Macaca fascicularis: one gene and its partners. The protein of the gene in region 1 purifies or fractionates together with the protein of each later gene. This does not show direct contact. Links are inferred from orthologs where the notes say so. Each region holds a gene or a part of one and is shown in the gene's direction. Other genes may lie near its edges. The genes, in order: LRWD1, ORC3, ORC5 and ORC4.

The links.
Region 2: the proteins of LRWD1 (region 1) and ORC3 purify together in Homo sapiens (affinity purification with mass spectrometry; 4 studies listed by BioGRID and IntAct, with this or other methods). This does not show direct contact. The link is inferred for Macaca fascicularis from reciprocal best matches to the Homo sapiens genes LRWD1 and ORC3.
Region 3: the proteins of LRWD1 (region 1) and ORC5 purify together in Homo sapiens (affinity purification with mass spectrometry; 4 studies listed by BioGRID and IntAct, with this or other methods). This does not show direct contact. The link is inferred for Macaca fascicularis from reciprocal best matches to the Homo sapiens genes LRWD1 and ORC5.
Region 4: the proteins of LRWD1 (region 1) and ORC4 purify together in Homo sapiens (affinity purification with mass spectrometry; 3 studies listed by BioGRID and IntAct, with this or other methods). This does not show direct contact. The link is inferred for Macaca fascicularis from reciprocal best matches to the Homo sapiens genes LRWD1 and ORC4.

The regions. Positions count from the first base shown.
Region 1 is NC_088377.1:51,096,015-51,104,162, forward strand, and holds the start of LRWD1 (leucine-rich repeat and WD repeat-containing protein 1), read left to right. Parts: upstream 1-3,204; 5' UTR 3,205-3,346; coding exon 3,347-3,426; intron 3,427-3,774; exon of another isoform or gene 3,775-3,924; intron 3,925-4,060; coding exon 4,061-4,295; intron 4,296-4,397; coding exon 4,398-4,514; intron 4,515-5,422; coding exon 5,423-5,563; intron 5,564-5,802; coding exon 5,803-5,907; intron 5,908-6,145; coding exon 6,146-6,271; intron 6,272-6,346; coding exon 6,347-6,461; intron 6,462-6,637; coding exon 6,638-6,738; intron 6,739-6,923; coding exon 6,924-7,131; intron 7,132-7,397; exon of another isoform or gene 7,398-7,628; coding exon 7,629-7,701; intron 7,702-7,796; coding exon 7,797-7,937; intron 7,938-8,148. Other genes in the region: ALKBH4 (alpha-ketoglutarate-dependent dioxygenase alkB homolog 4), read right to left, coding at 2,979-3,101. UniProt on the Homo sapiens protein: Required for G1/S transition. Recruits and stabilizes the origin recognition complex (ORC) onto chromatin during G1 to establish pre-replication complex (preRC) and to heterochromatic sites in post-replicated cells.
Region 2 is NC_088378.1:87,718,127-87,725,770, reverse strand, and holds part of ORC3 (origin recognition complex subunit 3), read left to right. Parts: coding exon 1-77; intron 78-1,693; coding exon 1,694-1,845; intron 1,846-3,116; coding exon 3,117-3,250; intron 3,251-5,730; coding exon 5,731-5,890; intron 5,891-7,644. UniProt on the Homo sapiens protein: Component of the origin recognition complex (ORC) that binds origins of replication. DNA-binding is ATP-dependent. The specific DNA sequences that define origins of replication have not been identified yet.
Region 3 is NC_088377.1:145,658,987-145,666,377, reverse strand, and holds part of ORC5 (origin recognition complex subunit 5), read left to right. Parts: intron 1-3,255; coding exon 3,256-3,368; intron 3,369-5,722; coding exon 5,723-5,870; 3' UTR 5,871-7,391. UniProt on the Homo sapiens protein: Component of the origin recognition complex (ORC) that binds origins of replication. DNA-binding is ATP-dependent. The specific DNA sequences that define origins of replication have not been identified yet.
Region 4 is NC_088386.1:43,519,017-43,526,660, reverse strand, and holds part of ORC4 (origin recognition complex subunit 4), read left to right. Parts: intron 1-2,940; coding exon 2,941-3,014; intron 3,015-5,406; coding exon 5,407-5,483; intron 5,484-6,091; coding exon 6,092-6,182; intron 6,183-7,644. UniProt on the Homo sapiens protein: Component of the origin recognition complex (ORC) that binds origins of replication. DNA-binding is ATP-dependent. The specific DNA sequences that define origins of replication have not been identified yet.

The DNA.
Region 1 (8,148 bases):
GCTCCTGGGGCCCTCCCATGGGAAACATTAAAATTGGGTGTCCCCCGTGTGTCGACTGAGCAGGCTGGACTTGTCCCAAAGGCCATGGAGCGCTCTTGAAGGGTTTTAAAGGAGTGACGAGGTCAAATGTGAATTTTAGAACGATCTGGAGAGGGGGAGGGGCAGCTATGAAGGGGTGGAGGCTGGAAAGTCAGTGAGGAACTGCCCCAGTGCCCTGAGATCCTGGACACCTCATTTTCCTTGTTCCACATCCATCGTGTTGGGAAGGTGTTACCTTCACATGGCCACTGGCGCGGGTCAGACTTTCCGCAATTTCTTTTCTTTTCATTTCTTTTTTTTTTTGTTTGAGGCAGGGTCTTACTCTGCCACTCAGGCTGGAGTGTAGTGGCGCTCACAGCTCGCTGCAGCCTTGACCTCCTGGGCTCAGGCAATTCCCCCACCTCAGCCTTCCACGTAACTGGGACTACAAGCACACGCCACCGCACCTAGCTAATTTTTAAATTTTTTGTAGAGGCAAGGTCTTGCTATGTTGTCCAAGCTGGTCTCAAACTCCTGGACTCAGGCGATCCTCCTGCCTCAGCCTCCCAAAGGGCTGGGATTCTAGGCATGAGCCACCACACCTGGCCCCTTCCACAAATTAAAACTTTTTTTTTTTTTTTTTTTTTTTTGACGCGGAGTCTTGCTCTGTGCCCCAGGCTGGAGTGCAGTGGCGCGATCTCGGCTCACTGCAAGCTCCGCTCCCCCGGGTTCACGCCATTCTCCTGCCTCAGCCTCCCGAGTAGCTGGGACTACAGGCGCCCGCCACCTCGCCCGGCTAATTTTCTTGTATTTTTAGTAGAGACGGGGTTTCACCGTGTTAGCCAGGATGGTCTCGATCTCTTGACCTCATGATCCGCCCGTCTCGGCCTCCCAAAGTGCTGGGATTACAGGCTTGAGCCACCACGCCCGGCCCACAAATTAAAACTCTTAAGTTCATTCATATTGTTGCACAGCCGTTACCACCATTCAGAACTTTTTCATCTTGCAAAACTGAAACTCTTTCCCCATTAAACAACAGATCCCCATCTCCGCTTCCTGAGCCCCTGGCAACAACCCTTCTACTTTCTGTCCTTGTGACTACCCTACATAGCTCACACAACAGGAATCCTGCAGTACTTGTCTTCTGTGACTGCTTCCTTAACTTAGCCTCATGTCCTCAAGGTTCATCCATGCTGTAACATATGTCAAAATGTCCTTTTTTTTTTGAGACAGGGTCTCGCTATGTTGCCAGAGTGCAGCAGTGGCATGATCATAGCTCACTGCAGCCTTGACCTCCCAGACTCAAGCAACCCTCCCATCTCAGCCTCCTGGGTAGCTGGGACCACAGGTGCGTATCACCATGCATGGCTAATTCTGTGTAGAGGTGGGGTTTCACCATGTTGCCCATGCTGGTCTCAAATTCCTGGGCTCAGGCGATCCACCTGCCTCGGTCTCCCAAAGTGCTGGAATTAGAGGCGTGAGCCACTGTGCCTGGCCTGTCCTTCCTTTTTAAGGCTGAATAGTATTCCACTGTGTGTATACACCACGTTTTCTGCATCAGTTCATCTCTCTCTCTTTTTTTTTTTTTTTTAAGGAGTCTTGCCCTGTCACCCGAGCTGGAGTGCAGTGATGCGATCTCGGCTCACTGCAACCTCTGCCTCCTGGGTTCAAGTGATTCTCCTGCCTCAGCCTCCCGTGTAGCTGGGATTACAGATGTGCCTCACTAAGCCCGGCAAGTTTTTGTAACTTTAGTAGAGGCAGGGTTTCGCCATGTTAGCCAGGCAGGTCTTAAACTCCTGACCTCAGGTGATCTGCCCACCTCAGCCTCCCAAAGTGCTGGGATAACAGGCAAGAGCCACGACACCCGGCCCAACTCATTTCTTGATAGATACTTGGTTTGCTTCCATCTTTGGGCTGTCGTGAATAATGCTGCTATGAACATTGGTATGCAAATATCTCTTCCAGACCCTGCTTTTAGTTCCTTTGGATATATACCCAGAAGCAGGACTGCGGATCATGGGTAATTCTATGTTTAATTCATGAGGCATGCCATACGGATTCCACAGGACCTTGGGCACTTCTACTATGGATGATGGGGCAGTTTCTTCACTGGCTTCCCAGCCTCTACAACTTCATATCTGCCCCTTCCCTTCCCAGGATCTTTCTAAAATGCACATTTGACTTCACTCCTTTAAAACCCTTCAAGAGCTTTCCATGGCCTTTGGGACAAGTCCAGCCTGCTCAGCTGATGCGCAGGGAACCATCTGTGGTCAGACACCACCCGCCCCCCGCTGCCCCCACCAACCTCTCCGGCCTCATCTCTCTCACCTGAGCCATCACCACTCCACCTTCCTACCCCACGCAGTTTTCTGGGCTGGAATGCCCTTGCAACCAACCACAATCCTTCCATGCCAGCCCAAAGGCGCTGAGTTCTTTTTCTTTTTTTATTTATTTTCTTTTCATGAGGCAGGGTCTCGCTCTGTCGCCCAGGCTGAAGTGAGGTGGCTCAATCATAGCTCACTGCAGCCTCCAACTCCTGGGTTGCAGCGATCCTTGAGTTCCTCTTCATTAGTTAACTGGAATTCACTGTCTCCTTGCCCATTGCAGTCCACGGCCTTCAGGCACCGCTGGACTGGTATTCAGCACCCTCGATCGACCCTTTCCGTGTCATCTCCTCGCGGGCCTGTGAAGCTCCCAGCGCCAGACCCGAGAGGCTACGTCGAGGTTTGCAGGCAGATCCCCCCAGAGTCCCCGAGGTTACCTGTGATCGCACCCACCCACATTCCAGCCCCTTCCCCACTCCCAAGCCCGCTCCTTAAAGCCCTCATCTCCTCAGCCCGCATCGCTCCTACCGCAAGGGTCCCTCACAGGCTTTGATCCCGGCCCGTATCATGGCCAAGCTGGGCCTCAGTTTCCCCAGATGCAGAGCGACGTCTGTGGACGAGGCCCCTACCCCTTACCGCTGGGGGCAGTTCCCAGGGCGGGTCGCCGCCACGCTGCCGCTCGCAGATCAGACAGGTCCGGATGCCCTTACAACCACATTCCCGAAGGACCTCGGGGGTCTCGGCGGCGGCAGCCGCCATCGCGCCGTCCGGGTGGCCAGTGCGCAGGCGCGGCCGTGAGTGGCCGCTGGGAGTTGTAGTCCGCGCGAGGCGGGGGCACGAGGCCTAGGTTCCGCTTCCTTCCGGTCGTTAACGCCCACGGGCTCGCGCGGCGCCACCTCCTGGGCTCCGTTACCGCGGACGCCAGTACCGGGCTCCAGGAGACGCAGGGGGACGCCAGACGCCGGGGCCGCCGACTGGGTCGGCGCGGGCCGCGCCTCCTCGCCATGGGCCCCCTCTCGGCGCGGCTGCTGATGCAGCGCGGGCGCCCCAAGAGCGACCGGCTGGGGAAGATCCGGAGCCTAGAGTAAGAGGCGGGCAGGGGGCGAGGCTGTGTCCGCGGGGCCGGGGGTCGGAGGGAAGAGCGGGGACCCTCCCCAACGGCCTGCCTGTCCCCGTTATCGCCCTCTGGGTTCGGCAGAGTCGCTCCAAATGTCTTCTTGTTGGGAGATCGTGGCCCTACCCGTTCGCCGCGAGTCCCGAGGGGCCTCATCCCCTGAAGGGAGCCCGGAGAGTTAGGGGCACAGCGTGCAGCTACCATTAGAGGGCCTGGGAAGCACACAGGAGCCCCCGAAGGATCAGGAAGAGCATCCTAGAGGGGGCTAGGATGCCCCTCAGTCCTAAAGTAGTTGCAGTTTTTTTTTTTTTTTTTAAGTGGTGGGGAGTCGGGAGTAGTGGCGCGCGCTTCTAGTCCCACCTACTCGAGAGGCTGAGGCGGGAGGATCCCTCAGCCCAGGAGATGGAGGCAGCAGTGAGCTGTGATCACGCCTAGGCGACTGAGTGACGCCCCGTCTCTAAAAATAAAGTAACGAGGGGGTGGGGCGGGGCGGCTGCACTTGTGAGAGAAATGTCAGGTGAAAAAGCCTTCTGAGATAGCTGGGGCAGATTGGTGTGGGGTGCAAAGCCTGCCCGCCCCCTAAGCCTTCTGCCCCCAACTCCAGCCTGTCAGGGTTGGAGCTGCTCTCCGAGCACTTGGACCCCAAGCTCCTGTGCCGCCTGACGCAGCTGCAGGAGCTGGACCTATCTAACAACCAGCTGGAGACGCTGCCGGACAACCTGGGCCTGTCCCACCTGCGTGTCCTCCGCTGCGCCAACAACCAGCTGGGGGATGTCACTGCCTTGTGCCAGTTCCCCAAGCTCGAGGAACTCAGCCTGGAGGGGAACCCCTTCCTGACGGTAAGTGGGGGCCTCCCACCAGCCTCATACTGGGGGCCAGGACTCTATTGGGCTCAGGCTCAGCATCTCCTGAGCCACTGCCGTTCACCCCCTCTTCCCCAGGTCAATGACAACCTGAAAGTCTCCTTTCTCCTGCCCACACTCCGTAAGGTCAATGGCAAGGATGCGTCCTCAACTTACTCTCAGGTGGAGAACCTGAATCGGGAGCTGACCAGCAGGGTAAGGGGATGAGAGGATTATTGTGTGCTTGGGAGCTATAGGCGGCATTAGGAAAGTGATGGAATTGGACATCAGGAGGATGCGAGGAGGGTGACTGATAGGGGCTCTTTGCCCTAACAGCCCCTAGCCTGATGTGCTTTTTTTTTTTGGAGATGGAGTCTCACTGCATCACCCAGACTGGAGTGCAGTGGTGCGATCTTGGTTCACTGCAACCTCTGCCTCCCAGGTTCAAGTGATTTTCCTGCCTCAGCCTCCCAAGTAACTAGGATTACAAACACCTGCCACCACGTCCAGCTAATTTTTTGTATTTTTAGTAGAGACAGGGTTTCACCATGTTGGCCAGGCTGGTCTCAAACTCCTGACCTTAGGTGATCTGCCCGCCTTGGCCTCCCAAAGTGCTGGGATTACCGGTGTGAGTCCCCGCACCCGGCCTGACTCTTATAAGTAGCTCTTTCTGGGTTTTTACTTTCCTTTTTTTTTTTTTTGTTTTTAGAGACAGGGTCTCACTCTGCTGCCCATGTTGAAGTGCAGTGGTGTGATAATAGCTCACTGCAGCATCCAACTCCTGGGCTCAAGCAATCTTCCTGCCTTAGCCTCCGCAATAGCTGGGGCTTTAGGCACATGTCTGGATCATTTTAAAATTTTTTGTAGAGGTGGGATCTTGCCATATACCCCAGGCTCCAACTCCTGGCCTCAAGCGATGCTTCTTCCTCAGCCTCCCAGTGGCTGGGACTACAGGTCCCTGGGCTGTTTCGGGGTGGGGTGGGGGTGGGGTGTGTGTGTGTGTGTCTGTGTGTGTGGTTTATGAGGCTGTGATTCCAGGAGGCTTCCAGCAGGTGGCAGGATGGAGGGCTGGGTCCGGAGGAGCTGGGGTGGGCCGGGCCTGGATCTGCTCCCTCTTGCACCAGGTCACAGCTCACTGGGAGAAGTTCATGGCCACACTGGGCCCTGAAGAGGAGGCTGAGAAGGCCCAGGCAGACTTTGTGAAGTCAGCTGTCAGGGATGTCCGCTACGGGCCTGAGTCCCTCAGCGAGTTCACCCAGTGGCGGGTACGTCCCTGTCCCGATGTGCAGGGAATCACTGGCTCTCGTATCCCTAGTTGCCTGGAGGTCCCTGGGTGTGAAGGGCTGAGGGGCTGTGGGAGTGGGGTGAGTCAGGGTGGGTAGCCCTGTTGACTGGAGAGGCCCTTCCCCAACTCTGGAAGCACAGGCTCCCCCTGACTATGCGTTGGCAGGGCTGGGGGCGCCTGGGACTGTGCCCAGCTTCCTGATGGCCTGGCCCCACCCAGGTGCGGATGATCTCTGAGGAGCTGGTGGCCTCCAGTAGGACCCAGGTGCACGAGGCTGACAGCCCAGAGAAGCCCCCAGAAGCTGGAGCTGCCCACAAGCCCAGGGTGAGTGCAGCTCCTAGGGCTCTGAGGCTGGCCCAGCCCCTCCTGCCTGGAGAAGCTGCAGGAGACCAAGGTGACCTGGGCATGGGCCCAGGAAGCACCCCAGGCCCTGACTCGCTCCCTAGACGACCCTGGGCCAGCCTGGGCCTCCTACACCCACAGTGAGGTGGGGTCCAGCCTGTGATGGGCAGGAAGGAAGCCCCTGGCAGATGGGCCCATGGTCACAAGGCCCCCTCCACAGGCCAGACTGGCGGCCTTGAAACGGCCAGACGATGTCCCACTCAACCTCTCTCCCAGCAAGCGGGCGTGTGCCTCCCCGTCGGCCCAGGTGGAGGGTGGCCCTGTGGCAGGCTCCGATGGCAGCCAGGTGAGCTGAGGTGGCAAGGAGCAGGTGGCAGATGAGTTGGGGCTGGGCAGCCGTGACCTTCCTCTCCCCACACAGCCTGCCCTGAAGCTGGAGCCCCTGCACTTCCTGCAGTGCCACAGCAAGAACAACAGCCCTCAGGACCTCGAGACCCAGCTGTGGGCCTGTGCCTTCGAGCCAGCCTGGGAGGAGGGTACATGGTGGCGGGCAGGCGGGGCAAGGGCTGCTGGAAATGGGGCCGCCTGGATGGGTGGGGGATCAGGAGACAGAGCTTAAAAGGCACCATCAAGTCTGGGAGGAGGAGGCTGCAGGGAGGACTTGGATGGGAAGTGTCTCTGCTCATCTGACCTCTCAAAACCGGGCACTCAGGGGCCACATCCCAGACCGTGGCCACGTGCGGCGGGGAGGCCGTGTGTGTGATTGACTGCCAGACAGGCATCGTGCTCCACAAGTACAAGGCGCCCGGCGAGGTGAGTGCAGGGCAGGGGTGCCCAACTGACTCCTGCATAGCAGCATGGGGATGGGTGCAGGCTTGGCCCCCTGCCCAGTGGCCTTTTTCTTTCATGCTGGGGCTCCCTCCCCCAGGCCCGGACCTGCCCGGGTGTTCACACCAATAGCTCTGCCCCAGTGACTGTTTCCTCTAACCCCCGCCCAGGAGTTCTTTTCTGTGGCCTGGACCGCCCTGATGGTGGTCACACAGGCCGGCCACAAGAAGCGCTGGAGTGTGCTGGCAGCCGCAGGCCTGCGGGGCCTGGTCCGGCTACTGCACGTGCGTGCCGGCTTCTGCTGCGGGGTCATTCGGGCCCACAAGAAGGCCATCGCCACCCTGTGCTTCAGCCCTGCACATGAGACCCACCTCTTCAGTAAGCCCCTCCCCTTCACCCCTGGGACCCCCAAGCACCCCTGTCCTGCTGCCCCAGTGGCCTCCGCGCTCTCCTCCCTGGGATGGCTGGGAGCTCAGGTGCCTGCCGGGCCCCAGGCTGCACTGCTCCCACTCTAGCTTTGGCAGGAAGCCATGGCACTTCAACCCTGGCTTTATCCACAGCCTGCTCTGTGGCCTTGGAGTTTCCCAACAGTTTGGGCCACTCTGTCCCCTGTCAGTGACCTGGGGGGATGCTCCTGCCCCCAGGTGTGGTGCCCCCTGGCAAGGGAGATGGATGAGCTACAGGAGATGGCTGCTGGAGCCACCGCATCAGGTTACAGCGAGGAGACAGGGATTGTAGGCCCAGGAGTGTTCTGTCTCCTAGCCTCGGCCCTCCCTCCCTGCCTCGGTGACCGCGGGCTCAGCCTCATATGCAGCCAGCAGGAGGGAGCAAGGCCACCTCAGGGCCACCTCTCCCCTGCCCCACTCCCTCCTCAGCGGCCTCCTATGACAAGCGGATCATCCTCTGGGACATTGGGATGCCCAACCAGGACTACGAATTCCAGGCCAGGTGATGCTTCGGGTGAGGCTGGGGAGTGGCCAGCTGCTGGGGCAGGGACACCTTGGTCCAGGGCTGACGCTCTGCTCCCTCTCACCCACCGGCAGCCAGCTGCTCACACTGGACACCACCTCCATCCCTCTGCGCCTCTGCCCTGTCGCCTCCTGCCCGGACGCCCGCCTGCTGGCCGGCTGCGAGGGTGGCTGCTGCTGCTGGGATGTGCGGCTGGACCAGCCCCAGAAGAGGAGGTGAGGCTGGGCAGGGGGCGCCTTGGAAGCCAGGTCTCTGCACAGGGTGACTATTGGCCCAGATGGGCTCAGAACAGCCTGGGCACACTCGGGCAACCATAAGAGTTGTTTTCAGGGGCCTCTTCACGGAACTGGCCTGTCCTACCTTCCTGCCAGGCTCGGGAGGAAAGGACTGTGACCCTGCCCTCACCCTGGGTTCCGCTGTGGGACT
Region 2 (7,644 bases), on another chromosome or scaffold:
ATTCAGAAGTCTAACAGAGGCCCTTCAGAATAATGTCACACCATATGTAGTCTCATTGCAAGCTAAAGATTGTCCAGGTAAAATATAAATGCCATAATAACCTTGGTGAGATGCTACAGACTTGTTTCATCCTTTTCTCTCTTTTTCAGGCTTTCTTTATTCCTTTTTATTGGTGGAAAGAGCACAGTGCTATGTTTTGGGCAGGGTTAGGCTTGGGGCCTCTCAGAGTAATTGTGACTATTATAGAACTCTGCCTCCTTTTGCTGTCTTTATTCTGGACTCATTTCTGCCCTATCAGCTTAACTGCCGGTAGCAGTCCAGGCATTTTGCGAGATGCGTTCTTTAACCCAGTGAAACGTTTAATAAGTAGAAAGACTTAGGGCGGAAAGCTGAGAATTGGGGAATGAGGAGCTCTTGTTCATCTCAAAAGAGAGTAGACATGTGGGCTCATGTTTCAGCCATAAATCATCTTACTGTCCCGCTTTGAAAAGCCACCATGGTAAAAAATAGTCCATTGACAGAGCTAATCCTGAGCATGTGAACCCATGAAATCATAAAGAGTGTTCACACTCCTTTTTTTTTTTTTTTTTTGGAGACAGGGTGTCACTGTGTTGCCTAGGCTGTACTACAGTAGCATGATCATAGCTCAGTGCAGCCCTGAACTCCTGGCCTCAAGCAATTCTCCCACCTCAGCTTCCCTGGTACCTAGGACTACAGGTGCATGCCATTATGCTCAGCTACATTGTGGGGTTGTTGTTTATAGAGATTGGGTCTTGCTATGTTGTCCAGACTGGTCTGGAACTCCTGGGCTCAAGCAGTCCTGCCTCGGCTTCCCACAGTGCTGGGATTACATCTTGAGTCACCATGCCTGGCCATAATGTAGTAAAATTTGTTTGGATTTAGATTGATAAAAGAGATTTATGTGCTTATATTGCTTTCATATTTATAAACTGATTGAAATTAAGTAAAAGTCCTTAAGGGCATCTTTAAAAATGGCTATATGAAAGATTTATAATCAGTAAAATAATTCATATGACACTTGATTTTTCTTAGGGACCTTGAAAACTTTATTTTTCTGTGTTATTTAAATACATATTCCTAAAATTTATAGTTTGCTTGTCTACACATTTGTTTATGTGACCTTTTTATTATAGATAATATACATAAGTGGCCAGGAGTGGTGGTTCATGCCTGTAATCCCAGCACTTTGGGAGGCCGAGGCAGGCAGATCATGAGGTGAGGAGTTCGAGATCAGCCTGGCCAACATGGTGAAACCCTGTCTCTACTAAAAAATACAAAAATTAGCTGGGCATGGTGGCATGTGCCTGTAATCTCAGCTAGTGGGGAGGCTTGAGGCAGGAGAATCGCTTGAACCTGGGAGGTGGAGGTTGCAGTGAACCGAGATCCCGCCACTGTACTCCAGCCTAGGCGACAGAGTGAGACTACATCTCAAAAAAAAAAAAAAAAAAATTATAATATGCATAAGCTTTGGTCTAGTCTTAGTCTGAATTAATGCAGGTACTAATGAGCATCAATAGTTAATGTTAAATGTTATATTAGCTATATTGATGGTAAGTATAAAAAAACACATTCTACCAAAAAAGAGTAATATACTGATCAAGAAGTTTCAAGAGCTTTGGTTTTATTTATGGAAGAGGCAGAGATAAGCTTTCTTACTTTTTATATTCCACAGATATGAAACATTTTTTGCAAAAGTTGGTCTCACAGTTGATGGACTGCTGTGTAGATATAAAATCCAAAGAGGAGGAAAGTGTTCAGGTCACCCAAAGAAAAACACATTATTCAATGGATTCACTTTCCAGTTGGTATATGACTGTCACACAGGTAGATATAAACTGACGATTTTCTCCCCCAAGGAAACTGACATATGATTGATGTGGCTTGGAATAATATTAGACATAGTCCTGTTTTGATCTAACAAGGATATGCTTCTGCAGCACTAGGTATTAATTTAAAAGTAGCTATTTTTCTAATGCTACTCAAATTTTAAAATCTTTTTTACTAGTATGTAGCCTAATTCCTGGTAAGTGCTTAGGTTTTTACAAGGACATATTTGTGGGAGAATGTCCTCTAATGACAAAAACAGAGCATCAGGAATTGCCTCTGTTGCAGGTTCCATCTCTGTGACAATAACTATAACTTTAATATATTATCTCTTGGGTTCCTCAGTGTTTGCTTTATCCGATAGAACCATGCTGCTAGTATCCACTGTCAACTTAGTTCAATGAAGAGTAATCATGGATTTTCTAAAATCTAATTTGTTTTATGTTTAGAGTTCTTAGGGAATCAGCGCTCTTTAAGTAAAGTATGTTCAACAAACAGATAAATAAAAAGAAGTTCCATTCTACCATGACAGTCTGGTGAAAAAGAATAACCTAGGTTAACACTAGGTAACTGCGTCCTAAAACCATAGTCTTAGGTTATGGTGCTATGTACCCAGACAGTATAGGAAAAAAAAATACTGTGGTTACATTTTCCAATCAACATTTTTGCTGAAATCATCATAAGTGAAGTTTCATTTTGCCTTATATAGGGACTCAACTATGTCTAATACTTAACCAGAATACCTTATTTGCTCCACAATTTTGGACTTTCCAGAAATCAAATGCTACTTTCAGTTTGTGTCAGATATCTTTTTAAAAATTGAGATTGGACCAGATGATACCTAGTATCCATTTCAGGCTTGAAATTTCACGGTGGCAAAGTAGCAAGTACTACTATTCATTATGTTTTTTTCATTAAAAATACTAGTTCTCACTGTAAAGCAAAGCAGAATATAACTTTCTACCAATCGAAAAATCAATTTTGTAGAAAATTTTCTCTTCTTCCATGTTTTTTTCTGTCATTTCCTTAGCAGAAAATATAAATATTTCATATGAATTATAGAGTTTTACTGAACCTTTTTCTTCTTGGTTATTATTCCCATGTCAGACACAGAAAGATTCTAGTAACCTGAGTTTCTATTTATCATGTGGTAGGAAAAAAAACAGTGTTACTGTGAAATTTAAAGAGAGATATGTCAACATGTGGCATTATAACATTGTTTGGGTGGTAAGGCTTACCTTTAACTCTTTCTTTCTGCAATGGTTTAAAAGAAGACAGACCCAAAAATGCCAAGCAAAAAGAGGACTACTTCTAGTCAATGGCTGTCTCCTCCTGTTGTGGTTATCTTGAAGGATATGGAAAGCTTTGCTACAAAAGTACTACAAGACTTCATAATCATCAGCAGGTAGATGGTATATCGCCTGCTTTTATGAAAAATTCCCTTTTTAAGAAAATATTACTTTTAACTTGAAAAGTATAATCTTCATTTTAATACCAACTAGATAAAAATCAAAGTATTCAAATTCTTTATAATTGAATATTCAAAGACCTCCTATCAGATTTTCCATTTGCTTTTTGAGCCAAGAATGAGAATCAAAGGCACATTTAGCCAGTTTTAAAAAGACATGGTAAGACAGTGTTAAATATGGTTTATCTCACCAAGATTGACTGTCTGTTACTCACCCATTAAGTAGGTAAACTAGTCCAGTTGAGGTTTTTGTTTTTGTTTTTTTCTTTTTTTTGAGATGGAGTTTCGCTCTGTCACCCAGGCTGGAGTGCAGTGGTACGATCTCGGCTCACTGCAGCCTCCACCTCCTGGGTTCAAGTGATTCTCCTGCCTCAGCCTTCTGAGTAGCTGGGATTACAGGTACCCACCACCACACCTGGCTAATTTTTGTATTTTTAGTAGAAACAGACTTTCACCATGTTGGCGAGGCTGGTCTCGTACTCCTGACCTCAGGTGATCTGCCTGCCTCAGCCTCCCAAAGTGCTGGGATTACAGGAGTGAGCCACCGTGCCTGGCCAAGTTGCGAGGTTTATTAGGTCTTATTTTCTGATACCCATCCATCCTTAGATGCTGTGAGTTACATACAGTTTTACTAAGCAAAAGTGTCTTCTAAATAACATGATCTTACATTTATGTAATATTTCTAGTGAGAAACTATTTTCATGATTGCATTGCATCTTCAAAACAATCATGTGAGACTCAGAATTGAAATTGAACCCTAATTTTAAAATCCAGTGACACGCATTTTCTGTGGTGTATTTTTTAGGGTGGAATTTATTTTGGCCTCTTCTATATGTCAACTTGCTTTAATAGTTATAGCTACATTTGACTAAAGCTATATATTTTGTTGAATAATTTACTAGTATACTTTATTTTATTTTTATTTTATTTTGGAGACGGAGTCTCACTCTATCCCCCAGGCTGGAGGGCAGTGGCGGGTTCTCGACTCCCTGCCACCTCTGCCTCCCGGGTTCAAGCAATTCTCATGCTTCAGCCTCCTGAGTAGCTGGGATTACAGGTGCCCGCTGCCCTGCCTAGCTAATTTTTGTATTTTTAGTAGAGACAGCGTTTCACCATGTTAGCCAGGCTGGTCTCAAACTCCTGACCTCAGGTGATCCACCTTCTTTGGCCTCCCAAAGTGCTAGGATTACAGACATGAGCCACCACACCCGGCTAATTTACTAATGTACTTTAAATTCCTACTTTGATAGGATCTTTTTTCCCTCATTGATTCTAAGAGTTCTAGATCCTAGGAGTTCCTTTTTTTTTTTTTTTTTTTTGAGATGGTCTGGCTCTGTCACCCAGGCTAGAGTGCAGTGACATGATGTCAGCTCAGTGCAACCTCCACCTCCTGGACTCATACAGTCCTCCCTTCTTAGCTCCCCAAGTAGCTAGGACTACAGGCACATGCCGCCATGCCCGGCTAATTTTTGTATTTTTTGTAGAGATGGGGTTTTGCCGTGTTGCCCAGGCTGGTCTCAAACTCCTGGCCTCAAGAGATCTGCCTGCCTCAGTCTCCCAAAATGCTGGGATTACAGGCATGAACCATCGCACCCAGCCCAGATCCTAGGACTTTTCTTAATGCTAACACTGAACTGCTTAGCATGCTGGGAAAGTACACAGTACAAAATAGTGACAGAAAAGCTCTGCTTTTTTGGAGCTTAGACTTAATGACTACCTTAGCCATCAAAAGTGAGGAAGACTATAGATAGAGCTCAGACTTTGAATGAGAGATTAAATTGAATGGTATCTAACACCTCTTCTAACACTTAAGATTGTATAATCTTCAGCCCAGGCACCGTGGCTCACGCCTGTAATCCCAGTGCTTTGGGAGGCAGAAGTGGGTGGATCACATGAGGTCAGGAGTTTGAGACCAGCCTGACCAATATGGTGAAACCCCATCTCCACTAAAATTAAAAAATTAGCCAGGCATGGTGGCACGCGCCTGTAGTCCCAGCTACTCGGGTGGCTGAGGCCGGAGAATTGCTTGAACCCAGGAGGCGGAGGTTGTAGTGAGCCGAGATTGCACCACTGCACTCCAGTCTGGGTGACAGAGCGGGACTCCATCTCAAAAAAAAAAAAAGAAAAAAGATTGTATAATCTTCGGGAAAACTTTCTGGACCACTCTGTTCTTATTTATAAAATGAGAGGATTTATTAAGAGATTGAATTCAGAGCTAGACTGTCTGGAAAGTAATTATTTTTCTGTTTAAAAGAAGAAAGTGAAAGACTTAGAAAATTTTAGTGTTTGCAGTGATAATCCTTAATAGTGTCTTATAAAGTAAGCATTAAAATAAAGTTTGTCTTATCTTGAAATATGATGTATTGAAATACATTTGCTAAATAAATTTCACTTTCGTGTCTTTCTTTCAAAACTAGTCATCATCTCCATGAATTTCCACTAATACTCATTTTTGGAATTGCCACATCTCCTATTATCATCCACCGATTGCTTCCTCATGCAGTATCATCTCTATTGTGCATAGAACTGTTCCAATCTTTGTCTTGTAAGGAGCACCTGACTACGGTACTCGATAAGGTAAAAAGAATAAGTTTTACCAGTGAAATAGGATGAAAAGAAAACTGCCAATAATAGCTTGTTAAGATAACTCTTAATGATAAGCCCCTACAACTCTGAGTACTATATTGAACATATTCTTTCACATACTTTAATATTTTTACTTAATAATTTTTGTAGTGTTTTATAGTTTTACAGTGATTTTGTATATTACCTCTTTTGTACTTATCTTTTTATCTTTACTCAGTAAAAAATTATAGGTTTATAATGTAAATTTTTACAGAATTTGTAGACTTCCTAGTAACAATATATTTTGATTCTTACATTTTAGTTTTTCTAATTTTTATTTTTTTGAGAAGGCACCTAGCTCTGTCACCTAGGCTGGAGTGTGGTGGTGCGAGCTTGGCTCACTGCAACCTCCGCCTCCCAGGTTCAAGTGATTCTCCTGCCTCAGCATCCTGAGTAGCTGGGACAACATGTGGTGCGCCACCACGCCTGGCTAATTTGTATTTTTAGTAGACACAGGGTACCATATTGGCCAGGCTGGTCTGGAACTCCTGACCTCAAGTGATCTACCCACCTTGGCCTCCCAAAGTGCTGGGATTACAGGCATGAGCCACCACACCCAGCCTGACTCTTACATTTTGTATAAAATGATTTGAAATTTTTAATGGACTGTTTCCTAACTGATTTGTCATGCTGCTCATGACAACAAATAAATACAAACATTTTCCTAGACCTTAGCAACTAAAGTTAATTAACTGTGTTTCTACATAAATGCAAGTATGATTCTTTAATATTGACTGTATTAGTCTGTTCTCACGCTGCTGATAAAGATACACCTGAGACTGGGCAATTTACAAAAGAAAGAGGTTTAATGGACTCATAGTTCCACTTGGCTGGGGAGACCTCACAATCATGGTGGAAGGCAAGGAGGAGCAAGTCACATCGTACATGGATGGCAGCAGGCAAAGAGAGAGAGCTTGTGCAGGGGAACTCCTCTTTATAAAACCATCAGATTTTGTAAGACTTATTCACTGTCATGAGAATGGCATGGAAAGGACTTTTCCCCATGATTCAGTTACCTCCCACCAGGTCCCTCCCACAGCACTTGGGAATTCAAGATGAGATTTGGTTGTGGACACAGCCAAACCATATCATTGACCTTCCCCAAATTTCTTCTGGACTCACCTCCTTTAAGATGTGCTTTATGCTGCTTATTTAAGGTAAACTAATAACAGCCTGCCCACTAGCCACTTATACATGGATTTTGTTTTTTTGGTTTTTTCCATAAAGGTGATCTATAGACACTTTAAGGAGAATTTTTTTCAAACTACAATTTTTAAATTTGCTTGGCTAGGCTGGAAAGGGTGGCAAGCACCTATAATCCCTGCTACTTGGTAGGCTGAGGTGCGAGGATCACTTGAGCCTAGAAGTTCAAGGTTACAGTGAGCTATGATGCCACCACTGCACTCCAGCCTGGGCAAAAGAGCAAGACCTTTCCTCTACAAAAAAAAAAAAAAAAAAAAAAAAACAACTTGGTTATAGTCAAATTCAATTGGCCTTTTACAACTATGCTTCTGTTTAAGAAGCCTTCTGTGGCTTTTCATTTTCAGATGTAAAACATTACTATAGACTATTGAAAATTAGCCGAATAATACAAATTCAGCTATTCTATACTTTTGTAATAGACGTTTGTGTTAATTTTGTGTTTCTCATTCAACAATACATAATACGTTACTCCTTAATTTGAATTGGTAGGATTGAAAAAAATC
Region 3 (7,391 bases), about 95 Mb from region 1:
CAGAGTGACTATAAAAACAAAATCCCACTATATGTTATTTACATGAGAACTGTTTTAAATTGAGAAAACATGAACCTTGAATGTAGAATCATGAAAAGTCACATAAGAAAAAGGCAGAGCACATAAAGGAATGCTAATATAGCTATATTAAGATTAGAAAAAAATACATCGTAAGCTAAGACATTACTGGAGAAAAAAAGAGTTATTATAATGAAAAGGTTTGTCAACAAAACGTAATTTTAAATCTGTATGTACGTTACCTAGTAACGTAGCTTAAAAAATACAAAGCAGAAAAAGATTCTGTGATAACGGAAGAATTTTAATACCTGTGTCAGTTTTGATCAGGCAGATTTTAAAAATGTAAGATTTAACCATACAAATAATGTCTGTTACATATGTGTCTTATGTAATAGACATATATGTAACAAAGCAATAGACATGTAACAAAGCACGTAACAGTTGCAAAATACATATTCTTTTCAACACACACACAGAATATTTATAAAAGATATTTCAAGTTGTAACCTAATTATTGATACTGAATTAGAAATTAAAGTCTTAGCCTTTTGAATGCAGAGCTTTGTATTTTGATGTATTAATATAAATTGCTTTTCCAGTTGAAATAATGTTTCATATTTACTGAATATAGGATTTTCTCTACATAAGATACTCTATATATTTATTATCTGTTCACCCTTTGATTTGTTAGTAAAGTAATCGCAGACTGAATACTGCATGACAATTTTCCCTTCAAAATGGTAATGGGAAATGTAGTATAATAAGATGATCATGGATTCTTGAATTCTTGCTAAGCCAGTAGATCTGGAATAGGGGGAAAGTTACTTAAGATCTCTAAAGCTCATCTATTTAAAAAAAAAAAAAAGTATAATAATGTCCACCTTGTGGACATGAGGGTAATGAGGAATAACATGAGATAGTGTGTATAGAGTACTTAGTACCAAGCAAATTACTACTGCTATTAGTGTTTTTATTATTCATAGGATGTTTACTTAGCATCTGTAAAGTATTAGTCCCAAATTAAGTGAACATTTTAATTCCTAAGACATATGATTAGGTATGCGTAACCTAAAACTCTTCTTCATATTGCCACTGAACAGTTACAGGTAACTAAGTCTCCAAATGTTATCTTACTGCCATTGCTGGCTCTTTTTCCTGCTGGCCTATGGGAGATAAAAATAAGAAATTAGGAGAAGACAATGGGCACTCAAAGAATTTCAGTTCTTGGATCAGCTTCCTTTCTTAGATTTCAAAGAACTTAATATTTTAGTTGGCCTTATGAATGTTAAGTGATTTTGTACTTTAATTTTGACCTATCAAAATACACTTTTGCTTTTACTAATAATCCTTCTGGTGTTTTCCTGAGTACATGATCAGCAGTAAGTTTTAAAGCAATGGTTGGGTGCGGTGGCTCACGTCTGTAATCTCAACACTTTAGAGGCTAGGTAGGTGCATCACTTGAGCCCAGGAGCTCAAGAGCAGCCTGGGCAACATGGCAAAACCCCATGTCTACAACAAGTACAAAAAATTAGCTGGGTGTGGTGGCATGTGCCTATAGTACCAGCTACTCAGGAGCCTGCTGTGGGAGGATCACTTGAGTCTGGGGAGGTTGAGGCTGCAGTGAGCCATGATTGTGCCACTGCAATCCAGAATGGATAATGGAGTGAGACCCTGCCTCAGAAAAAAAAAAAAAAAAAGAAAGAAAGAAAGTTTTAAACCAAGACTAAGCCCAGTTCTGAAGGATGTATTTCTTATCTTTTATCTAGCCAGCTACCCAACTCTTAAAAGGGCCTAAATCCATATTATAATTGTTTTATTCCCAAAGGAGTATAGATTTTGTATTCTGAGTTATTTAGATAGAAATTCTGTAAAATGTTTAGAGAAGGAATGTGCTTTATTTGCAGCTTTTAAAGGTTTGGCAGTCATGTGTCTGAGTCACTAATGAAACAAAGCTGTCTCTAGTAGAATTCTTAAGGACTGATTGTTTGAATCAGTTGTTAAACTAGGACTCTTGGTTGGGCTGAGTGCAGTGACTCACACCAGGAATCCCAGTGAAGCAGGAAAAGTTCCCTCGTCCCCCTCGCAGGGGTAGTGGCTCGCCTCTTCAGTGTCCTGCTGCTCAAACCTCTAATGGGAGCATGCTCACGGACAAGTTGTGGAGCTCCCACCCCACAGCAGCATCTAGGGATGAATGCTTACAGCTCCTGAAGCCCCAGTGGGTGTGTGTTACAGTGTGCTCTTTTAGTTTTGCCATCTGTAGGTGGCTTGTGTTAGCTCAATTAGACCCTCTGCCGTATCGGACAGAGAGAGGGCTTTCTGTATCCCGAGTTCTTGCCTTGGTGTACCGAAAAATCAGATCAAATGTGGGCTTGGAGAATGAGTGTGAGGTTTTATTGAATAGTGGAAGTAGCTCTCAGCAGATGGATGGGGAGCCCGAAGGGGGATAGAGTGGGAAGGTGGTTTTCCCCTGAAGTCTAGCCGTTCTTGGCCAAACTCTGTGTCGTCCCACCATAGATGGCCTGCTGGCATCTGCAGGTGTCTGCTGGTATGTTCCTCTCGCTGTCCAGCCGCTTGTGTGTTCTTCCGCCAGTGTATTCCTCTTAACGTCCAGCCAGGGTGGTCTTGGAAAATGTAACATTTAGGCATGAAAACTGAAATGCCAGTCCTTACCTAGGTCTGTGGGCACAGACTTGGGGGTGGAGCACTAGCCAGGGACCACGCCCTTCTCTACCCAGCACTTCCCTGCCTTCCCCTCCTGTATCACTGACCCTTTGGGAGGCCAAGGCAGGAGAATCACAAAGCCAGGAGTTCAAGACCAGCCAGGATAACACAGTGAGACCCTGTCTCTACAAAACAATAAAAAAATTAGGTGTGGTGGGCATGTGCCTGTAGTCCCAGCCACTTGGGAAGGCTGAGTTGAGAGCACCACTTGAGCCCAGGAATTTGAAACTCCAATGAACTGTGATCAAGCCATGGCACTGTAGCCTGGGTAACAGAGCGAGACCATATCTCTAAAAAATAAAAAAAATAAAAAAACGAGGACTCTGACAACTAGTCCTAGTTGTCAGACTAGTAGACATGTACAAATTTGTGTTTACAGATTGCAAAGTAGTCATTTTCTTTGCAGACTTTTTTGTGATTCAGTTATGTATCTTTATCAGACTATAAGATGTTTCAGAAACAAAAGTATTACATAATCTTATTAAAACAGTTTCTTATAAAAATGTTCTCTTTTAGATTACCTCTCTAGTGACCCTTCAGCTGTTAACCCTGGTTGGCCATGACGATCAGCTTGATGGACCAAAATATAAATGCACAGTGTCTCTAGACTTCATCAGAGCTATTGCAAGGTAAAATGTCTTGAATTATGTAAATGAGATACTAAATATAAAAATTAGTGTTTTCCTAATGTAATGTCATTAGTCATGACTTTTAAACATGAAAAAAATCATGTATTTAAGTGCCAAGAATGAATAACCGCTACTATAGAATGAACTTTCTCAAATTTACAAATGACATATAATTGGGAGAAATAGCTAATATGTTAGAGGACAAAAATCAAGATTCTGAAAGACCTTAATAGGCTGGAATAAATGATCCCATAGTAGCAAGGTAAGATTTAATGGACAGTTGGCTACAGAAAACTCTATTGTATTGAAATAAGATGGGAGAAAGCTGACTTAAGTCCTAAATTTTTTAGCTGACTACAAGGCTTTAAAAATCCTGACTTAGGTAACACTGATAGAAATATAGTGTCTAGGTCAGGGGACATAATCATTCTATTGTGTGTTGTCACAGGCAGATCAAATCTGGTGTGCTGTGCTGTGTTTAGAGTTTTCAGAGAGACAAATGGATACATGCTGAAGGGGCACGAGGAGAGTGGTAGAATGAGGAATTGTGTCACATCCCTGACTGAAGGACAGAGTGTGAGAGAAAAGCCTTAGGAAGGACATGTGAACTGTCTTAAGTATTTCAGGGGTCTGTCATGTGCAAAATGGATGAAACTAATTCTGAGTAATTCTAGAGTGTTGGAAGTTCTGGGGAAGAAAGTATATTTGTCAAAATGAAAGCTGTCTAAAAATACAAGTTTCCTTACAAAGAAGTGTACTTAGTGTTATGGAAAATGTTCAAACCATTTATATGAATAAGTGACTTCATCATACGGTTGCAGCTGGATAACAATCTGTCAGGATTGTAATGGAAGAGGTGATGAGTGTGTAGACTGGCAGGTTGAACAGGGCATTCCATAGACAGTGTGTTCCTAATCTTTTTGAATATGAAGATTCCATTTTAGCATCCTTTAAAAATTAGTCATAAAAGTATTTACATATATTTCAAAATTAACAGTATATAGGCATGAGACATTATTTTTTCCAGCCTAAAACAGTGCTTGATATCAGTATAGATTTGCAGATCTCCTCTGATGATTAATTTTACAGCTTCTTGAGATTCTGAAGTCCATAGGTTGGCAGCTTCTCCCTGAAGCCTCTTCTGAATTAAAAGTGCTCTGAAAAATAAATAAATAATAAATTAGTGAATGAATGGCCAGATGCAGTGGCTCACACCTGTATTCCCAACAGTTTGGGAGGCTTAGGTCGGAGGATTGCTTGAGGCCAGAAGTTCAAGATGAGCCACAACGTAGTGAGACCCCCGTCTACAAAAAAATGTTTTTGAGTTCTGTGATAATATGATGCAGGTATTTACCACATTTTTGTGGCATATAGGCTCTAAAACATGAAGTCAAGGGTTTTAATGTTTCATTTTAATAAAACCAGGCAAACTTTTACACAGAAAATTGAGCAGAAACTTATTTTTTAGTGTGTTAAGTATGATCACAAAGCAATTACTTCCTTTTAAAAAGCAATTATATTGGAACTTCTGTATCTAAGAGCCTCTATCCAAGGCATAAATTTGGAGGGAAGCCTGTTTATTTCAGGGATTTTATTATTACTCTGAATGTTAGGTTGTGCCCCAACATAATCATATGCAAAACAGAAGTTTGTGGGTTCCTAATATAGTGAATCTCCATTGAATCAGACTTAATTTGACATTCCTTTAGTGCAGAGCATCACAGTGATGGATGCTCAACACTTTCAGAGACATGCACTTTCATTTACCACCTTGCAAGCAAGAACTTTAGACCTGGAATCTTGGCATAGAACTTCGGGACTCTGTAACTTTCTTTTGTTTTCTTTACTGTTCTCTACTTCCCATGGGCAATATCCGTAGAATGAGCACCCGCTCCTCCCCACACCTGCCCTCTTCCATTCTCTCATCCCCATGTTTTGTACTTCGTTTTTGCTAACTTTACCTTTCATTCTTTCCCTCCCTCCCATGTGCCCCATTCTTCTAATAGTCTTCCTCATTGCCTTAGCTAAAACCTGATTCCTTCTTTGGGATGCTGCTTCCCCTGGACTTATCTCTAGTTGTAGCTATGTATTTTCTCAAACCCTAATCCCTCAGGGTTGGAGGTCATTTCAGTGCCATCCTTCCTGTTGCCACTTCCAGACTGTTACTGCCCCCAACTTCTTATAAAAATGTGGACTTCCTTGAGACCCATGCAACCTGGCTCTATTTCCCTATTCTCCTTAAGACTGATTTTTGTCTCCCCAGCCATTCCACTTCATGTATTGAAATGATAGGGCACCTGGTATCCAGACTTCTTTTCTACCTGAATTTTTTTTTTCTTTTCTTTTTTTTTTAGATGGAGTGTCTGGCTCTGTCACCCAGGCTGGAGTACAGTGGTGCGATCTTGGCTCACTGCAACCTCTGCCTCCCAGGTTCAAGCAGTTCTCCTGCTTCAGCCTCCCATGTGGCTGGGATCACAGGCACACACCACCATTCCTGGCTAATTTTTAGCAGAGACAGAGTTTCACCATGTTGGCCAGGCTGGTCTTGAACTCCTGACCTCAAGTTGATCTGCCTGTATCAGCTTCCCAAAGTGCTGGGATTACAGGCATGAGCCACCGCGCCCAGCCTCCACCTAAATTCTTGACTCTGTTTAAACCACAAATTCTAATGTCTGCGTTCATTCTGTTCAGTCTTCACTCTGTTTCACAGAACAAAGTTGAAACCCTCAATTGAGAATTGAGCTACCTGTGTTGGTGTCCATCTTCTCTTACTTTCCTTTTTCAGCAGGATGGGTTTCTTCTTCCTAAGGTGGATTCTTTTACCTATGCTCTGAATTCCATCTCCTCCACTATCCCAGAACCTCTGTTAGTCTCGGCTGTTTGTCCTCTCAGTGGCACCTAACACTGTTGGCTACTGTGTCTTTCTTAAAACTCTCTTCTCTTAGACATGATTCCACAGTATTCTGGTGTTCCTCTTTATTCTTTGGTTGTTCTTACTAACAAAGGTTATCTTTACCACCTGACCTTTAAATATAGCTGTTCCTTGAGGCTTGGCCCTAGGCTCTTTTCTCATATTACATTTTTTTCCCTAGGCAACTTGAGCCACACCTGTGACTTCGACAGTCATCTGTGTATTAATAATGTCCCTATTTTTAAAGACTAGATCTATTTTTTATAATATTCTTGACCCATCGCTTCTCGGCCTTTTGGCTAAGATCAAGTGTACAATATTCTTGACCTTTATTGTTGTTTCCCAGCTATAGTAATACATTTCCAAAACCGAACTTAGGAATTCTAACCTCTGCTTCAACCCGCCAACAAAAAGTGAAATATCTGGCTTTCCTCCAGTGTTTCTTATTTCGGTGATAAGCACTGCAGTCTGTTCTGTTGCCCAGGCCTGAAATTTGAGAGTCTTTCTTGACATCTCTCTCTCCCCCACTCGTAATATTCAACCATTTGGCCTATTGAGCTTACAAAGCCCCTCTTATTTGTCTCAATTTCATTCACTTGTTATCATGATACTTTTATCACTCTAGATCAAGCCACCATCATCTCTTCTCTAGCAGTCTAATTGATCTTCTGTCTGCTCTTATCCTCTTATAATTTATTATCCATGCTGTAGCCAGAATGATTTTATAAAAATTTAATGTCACCCTGCTCCTTAAAAAAATTCAGTAGTTTCCCATAGCTCTTGAGATAAATAACAGAATCTTTTCAATAACTTACAAGGCCCAAATGATCTGGCTCCTACCTGTGCCTAGCCCCATCTAGCACATACACCTTCTTTCCTCAGTATCTGCACTGTAACCACTGTGGCTTTTTTCCATTTTTTATATTCACCATTCTGCTTCCCATCCTTGTATATACAGCATTTTCCAGCTTCTCTTCTCCTTCACCTAGCTAACTGCTACATAACCTTTAGATTTCAGTTTAAATGTCTGCTCCTTAAAGACGCCTTCTCACGAATACCACAGCCACCATCATCACCCCCACCCCATACCCCCCCACACACACACACAAAAT
Region 4 (7,644 bases), on another chromosome or scaffold:
CTGAAGGAATATTGAGTTCTGTTAGAAGCTTTTTCTTTATCTGTTGAGTCAGTCATATGATTTTTGTCCTTCATTCTGTTAATACATTATAGCACACTTTATAGATTTACATATGTTGAACCATCTTTGCATCCCAAAGATAAATACCACTTGATCATGGTAATTGATCTAATGTGCTGTTGAGTTAGATTTGCCAGTATTTGTTGAGGATTTTTGTACCTATATTCATCAAGGATATTAGCCTGCTACCGAAACTATTCACCAAGAGGCCCAGGAAAGGTCATGCACACTGGTACCTCAGAAAATAAGTCCACTGTCCTCAGTCTCAACTGTGGACCCTGATAAGACACTTTAACTTGTCTGTGGTCTGAGATCAGTTCAAGGACCCGCAAGAAGACAAAACGGTCTGAATCCCTGGGTCAAGCTTTCTGAACTTGGTCCTACATTATATCCTGAAACAGCCCTGAAGCTCAGCTCCTGCTACTCTTGGTTGCAGCCTGAGAGCAACCCTGCCTGCACAAGGAACTGCTAGGAGACTCACCTGTCTGTGCTATCAGTACAGACTTACCAGTCTCTGTCCCGTAGCATATGCTGAAAAAGCTCTGAATTGGGAATCCAGCACATCTTAGCCACAGTCTTACAGAAATCCTGCACAGAAATTCTCCTGTAGTCAGGAGATACACCCTTCCATGTCCTCAGGACAGGCAGGCAGATTTCAGTCCCACAGCAGGTCCTGAAACAACCCTGAATCTTGGCATAAGCCCCACTCAGCTATGGTCAGAAAGCGGTTCTGCCTACCCAGCATCCTGGAGGGAGATGGGGCTGTCCATAGCCCTGCCAACAGGCCACCTGACCCAGGTCCCTCATCAGTCCCTGAAACACCCCTTAAAAGTAGCTCCAGCCCCTCTCAGTACAGCTTGAGAGCAGGCCCACCAACCTAAGGACCTGAAGGGAGGCATGCAGGTTCATGACACCTTAGACAGGCCTGAAGACCTAAGTCTTGACTGTAGGCCCTGAAGCAACCCTGTGACTTAGTTCCAGCCCTACGCAGCTGGGGACTATGGCAGTAGTGCCTGCTCAGGTTATCCACTCAGTGATCCAGTAGGAGCCCTCCCAGGTTCCCAGAGAAAGCCACACCATCCACACACCTGGTAACAGGTCTTTTCTCTGCATATCTTCATCCCCTGTACAGACCAATGTCCTAGAAAAAGTCCAGTCCACCACCAGATAGGTTTCATATCCTGCTACAGCCCCTGGTAACAAGGTCCTATCAGGCTTTAGCTAAGCCCTCAGGAGGACAGGGCCCTTTCCAAGTCTGAAGCCTGGACCACAGTTGGGGAATGAAGATCTGCCCTCAAATTGACTTTCCCAGGTCTTGGGCCCCACTGGGGTTTCACAGACGCCTGCCTGCATCTCAAGGCTAACACAAAGACACTTTTGTCCGTGGGTGGCTGTGAAATTATTGTTGCTATTTGGGAACACAAGCTGAAGGGCCTCCTATTTCATCTTGCTGCCGTCATTCTCACATTATTATAATGTTAATCATTGGTGATTTGATGATAGGTCAGCTTTTCTTGAGTTTTATGAGTTCTGGCAGTAAAAAAGTTCCAAAATGTCTTTCACTGGGCAAAATTCAGGGTGTCAGCAAAGCTGTGTTCCTTCTGGAGACTAGATGAGACCAGAATACAGTTTTTTAAAAAAGCTGTTAACTTGGTTGGATCCAAATCCTGGCTCTTCCATTTACATACTGTTTGATTTTGGTCAACATAGTTAGCCTATCTGTGTCTTCTAACCTTGAAAGAGGATTATAATAGTAGTTATCCCATAGGGTAGTTTTGAGGATTAAATGAGTTGATAAATGCAAATTATTTGTAACAATTCCTGATACCTAAGTAAACACTGCTTAAGCTGTTACTGTCTAACTGTTAAAGTAGTCCTATAGGAAATCAGTGCTAAGAAAATTAGGTCTTTTAGTCAAAGGTATTTGTCTATGAGTATGGTAACTTGAGGAGAATTTTACAAGAATTATACATTTTTCATTAATTTTTTTTCATTCCATTTATTCATTGCCAACTTTGTTTTGAGCATTATGCTACAATGCTTGGAATATAAAAAAATCTCAATTTGGAAACACTAGCAAATAAACAGATAATTTTGTTCAAAATAATTAAATAATAAAGAGAAATACAAGCACTTATAAGTAATTAAAGAAGAGGCATTTAACCTAGTCTGTAATGATTATTTGTGTATGGTTGGTGAGTGGAGCAAGAAAGGAAGGTTTTCTATGAGGGATGATCCTGTGGGATGGATGGGTGGGAGAATCATAAAGGAAGCATATAAGTTAAAGAAAAAGGAAGAAAGGGAAGGTGAATAGAAGATTTAATGGAAACGGAGGAGTAGCTGTTAAGAACCACATACAGGCCTGGAGGTATTATTACAGGTTCAGTTCCAGACCATTGCGGTGAAGCAAATATCACAATAAAGTAAATCACCCAAAACTTTTCTCAGTACATATAAAATGTATATTTACAGTATACTAGTCCATTAAGTGTGCAGTAGTATTATGTCTAAAAAATGTACATACCTTAATTTTAAAATACCTTATTGCTGAAAAATGCTGACAGACACAAAATGGGGACATGGTGTTTGAAAAATGGTACCTATCGACTTGTTGGACACAGAGTTGTTCTAAACCTTCAGTTTACTTAAAAAAATGCACTGTCTGCAAAGCACAATAAAACCAAGTGTACCTAAAGTATGGTATGAGAGTGTTGAATAATCCTGTACTTGGACAAAATGAAGCCATCGAAGATTTTGAAGGTCTTAGGGTTTGAGCATTTTTTACTTTTAAAAACTTGTATTTAATTCTAGAACAGTATATTCTTAGGTATTATCTCTTCAAGTCACTATGTTTATAATATTTATGCCAATTTTTTTAAGGATTTGAATTTGTTGAAATGAGCAGTCGTAAATCAAAGAGTAACAGCTTAATTCACGCAGAGTGCCTTTCACAGGTTAGTATGTATTTTCATTAATCTCAAGACCTTTTACCCTATAAAAGTGTTGAGAGAAATAGTTATCTTCTTAACTTGAATTTTCACTTTAGCGTATAAGAAGAATCACTCTTTCTAACCTTAAGGAGATGTCAGTACAAGACCTTGAGATATCAGTACAAGGTCGTAAGAACAATCATCTGGAAGCAAAATTTTCCAGACTCTGTAAAAATTAAATGTGGACCAACAGATTTTCTTGTTGTTATGATTGTTCTCTATCCTTTTTGTCAGTTCATATATTTTTTTAATATTAGTGTTTTATACTATAATTTAATTTTATCCTTATTAAGTCCGGGTAGTCAGAATTCTAGCTTTTCCTTTTTCTTTCTAATCTAGATACCTTTTTTTTCTCCCCTTTTCTTGCTTAATTGCCCTGGCTTGAACAAATGCTGAATAGGAATGGAAATAATGGACATTCTTGTCTTTGTTTTCATCTTAGAGAGACAGCATTCAGTCTTTCACTATTATATATGATGTTAGCTGTAGGATTTTTTTTTAGATGCCCTTTATTAAGTTGAGGAAGTTCCGTTAATGTTCCTCGTCTATCGAGTGTTTTTATAATGAATGTTATCAGACGTGCATACTGTATTCCAAGTGCTGAACATCTATCTGTATATCTCTTCCTTAAGAAGCTTATAGTCTAGTAGGGAAATGAGCATGGTATTTCTACGTTTGTATGTATCTAGCTTGACCTGAACTACATGTAGTTTTTAAATAAAAATTAAATGTTACTGGTATTCCTTCATAAGACTTGGCTTTCTTTTTGAAGGAAGTTGTTTAACTCTATTTCTAAAAAAAAAAAAATTTAACTGAAATATGCTTTACGTACCTTTGTATGTAAAGTGCACGAATCCTCCATGTACAGCTGAATTAATTTCAATACATGTATATACCTGTTTAACTTCCATGCCAGATCACTTTGGGATTTGTGAACCTTCTAACTAGTCACTGCAGCTTTATCTAGCTTATGTTTTACACCCCATTACTGCCTCTAAGAGATTTTAATGAAGTTTTGGTTTTTTGTTTTGTTTTGTTTTGTTTTTAAGGAAGGGATTGAGTTTTTTCTTTTGATCTCATCTAGGTAGAGGAATACACTAGTTGAGTACATATATATGTTCTTTTATGTATTTTTATAGATATTAGCTATTACCTGTACAAAGCCTATTTGTGTTACAGATAATTGCCTTTTGCCTTTTTAAATTTTTTTTTTTTTTTTTTTTTTTTTTTTGAGACCAAGTCTTGCTCTGTTGCCCTAGCTGGAGTGCAGTGGTACAATCTCAGCTTACTGCAACCTCCGCCTCCTGAGTTCAAGCAATTCTCCTGCCTCAGCCTCCCAAGTAGCTGGTATTACAGGCATCTGCCACGTCTGGCTAATTTTTGAATATTTAGTAGAGAAGGTATTTCAACCATGTTGGCCAGGCTGGTCTTGAACTCCTAACCTCAAGCGATCCACCCATCTCGACCTCCCAAAGTGTTGGGATTTACAGATGTGAGCCACCGCGGCCACCCCACTTTTTTAATCTTTAAAACAGGCCTGCAACAAGGTGTTATTGTCCCTATTTTATAGATAAAGAAATTAAAATTTAGAACAGACTTAACCTTTTAAAATTCATATAGTAGCCTCTTCTGGTACCAGTGTCCTTACTCTTTAACTTCCTCTATAATGAACAAGTATGTATCATTTTGTCCCTAGTGAATCATTTTCTTTGCTTAGCCTCTGTACATGGAACAAGAACTCAGATTTATTTCTTTGATACATGAAGGATTAGTTCCATGCCATCAGTCTAGGAGAAGCAAATATTTTTGGAGGTTTTTTATTCCAGTTCATGGGGCCAAATCTGAGATAGCACCCTAAGGTTGTCCTTGAAAGACCTCTGTATTAGCTGCAGATCCAAAAAGGAATGACTTTAATGGTCCATCTTTTTAAAGAGTATGGTAGATTATCTGACATAATTTTTCATGACTAAGTCTAAGGCCCTTTTTCTAAGGTGAACTCAAAATACAGCTCCTTATAAGAATTTTTTTCTGAACTCATTCACATGCATTGAAACAGCCCTTGAGTTGCTAACATAACTAAAGTCAGTGATTCTCCCTTTTTTGAAACCTTCACAACTAAATTCTCATTCTTCCTGTGGGACTTGAGATAGATAAGAACACCATTAATTTTTTAACTTATGGTGCCATAACTCTAGAGGATAAGAATTTAGGGAGGGTTGAATTGATTCATTAATAACTAATTCTGGCTATTGTAAATGTGCTTTCTTACTCATTTTTTATTGCATGTGTAATATTTTTTTTTTTTCGCACCATGCATGTGTAATATTTTTATATTTATTCACTTTATTTTCATCAGGTACAAAGAATTTTACGTGAAAGATTTTGTCATCAGAGTCCACATAGTAACCTATTTGGAGTGCAAGTACAATACAAGTAAGTCTAGCTGTCCTTTTGACTGTTACGGACCAACTTACAGATGCCTTCCAGGTCTTGCAAAAATTATGTAACAAGTTTGATATTAAATAAACCTAACAAACACTTTTATAGAAGTAAAAAATTTTGCTTTGTGAATAGAAACACCACATAGCGTGAAGCAGAAGCAGATACAAATATTTCCATAATGCAATAGCACTTTAACATTCAATCTTGTTTTGTTTATGTTATCTAATACTGTGGAGAGAATTCTAACCATCTTGCCCTTAATACCCAGCAGCCAACTATGGAGTGAAATTTCAGAGTATTAGTAGGAAAAGAGATTTGAATCCAAGAGTCCTGAGAGTTGCCACTGTTGTCCCCACGATCATACAAATCAATATATTCCAATCTGATACATTTTCACCTGAAGATTTCAGAGTCTATACTACCCTCCTATTTCTTTTGTATTTTTCTGTTTAGGACCATTCAGAGGCTAGGCCAAGTGCCCAGAGGGAGAGAAGAGAGGAAATTTCTATGCATATTCAAATATGCCTTTTAAAAAACTACAACCTAACAAAGTATTCCAGCTTCATTTTTAAAATTTTGTCCTATTTATATCATTTTAGACACATAAGTGAGCTGCTAAAAAGGACCGCTCTCCATGGAGAGAGTAACTCTGTCCTCATTATCGGACCCCGAGGATCAGGAAAAACTATGGTAAAAGCTGTTCATTTCTGGTGTTTGTTGGCGTATGATGATTCTTATTTTATATAATACTGAAAATATTTTTCATTTCATTATTTTGTAACATTTTACTTTTTTTAATCATAGAAGATATGTAAAACTTTATAAAGTTAGGGTGGTATATTTGAGTGTAGCAGACCTTTTTTCCCCTTATTTGTCCTCCTAGTGACAAATTGTCACTTGATGTTTGTTCCAACATGGTCTTTTGTCCTTGAAGAAGTAGAGATTTCCAGTGGAAAAAGAAAATAGCATTTATTGAGCATGTACTATGTGTCTTTTTATTATGTTCTCTCACTTATTCTTTACATCAATGCTGCAAGGTAGGGTTTTTCCCTTTGTTATAGGTTAGAGAACTATCATATCATGCATTCTTTTTATTTTTCCTACATTATTACTATTTATTGTTTAACCCTAATTTACGTAGTTTTACATAAGATGCATGTTCACATCTTATATCATTCTTGTCTCCTTTTCCTCTTTATTGTATTTCCTTAGTTACCTCAAAAAGATATTCTTACTTATTTCCCCTTGCTCTTTTCTTTCATATCCTTTATGCAATATAGGAGACAAATTATGGGTGTTAACTTTTGAAAGTAATTAATTTCAATGCTAAGTAGTCTGTGTAAAATCTGTTCTCATGTATTATATACAATAAATTTAAATTTTTTACTAATGTACTTTAAAAAATGGATAAGTAAAATTTTTTTAACATTTTAAGCAATATATATTGAAATTTATTATGATGAATATGTTAGGATTTTACTGTTATCACTCATCTCAAGTATTGTTTAAAGTATGTAAATTGAGAATTTAGATCTAGGTAATTTCTTTTAATAGTTCACAAATTTTCACATTTATAATCATATTTACAGTAAGTTTTAGGTTTCAAATCTATGTTTAATTTGTTTTAGTCCTCATACTCAGCTTCTATAAATCACTATTTCTTTATTCTTGAGTTTTTTATTATGGTTTTTCTTTGCATTTGAATTCACTATTATTTTGGGTGGTTTTCACAAGAGAACTATGTGAAATGTTTTTAAATTTCAAATTTTTAAATTTAAGAAACTTTTTAACCATTCTAATAGGTGTAGATTGGTGTCTCATTGTACTTGTAATTCTCTAAATGACATGCTGTTGAGCATCTTTTCATACACTTCTTTTTCATCTGTATATGTTTGGTGAGGTGTCTTATGTCCATTTTTAATTTGGGTTGTTTTCTTATTGATAGGTTTTAAGAGTCCTTTATATTTCTGATTTTCAGTTTTGTTTTGCAAGTATTTTCTTACAGTTTGTGGCTTTTCTTTTCATACTATTAATATTAACATTGTCTTTGGCAGAGCAGAAGATTTTATTTTTATTTTTGAGACAGGATCTTGCTATGTCTTTCATACTATTGCTATGTCAAAGTCAAGCATACTATTGCTTGTCAAACATA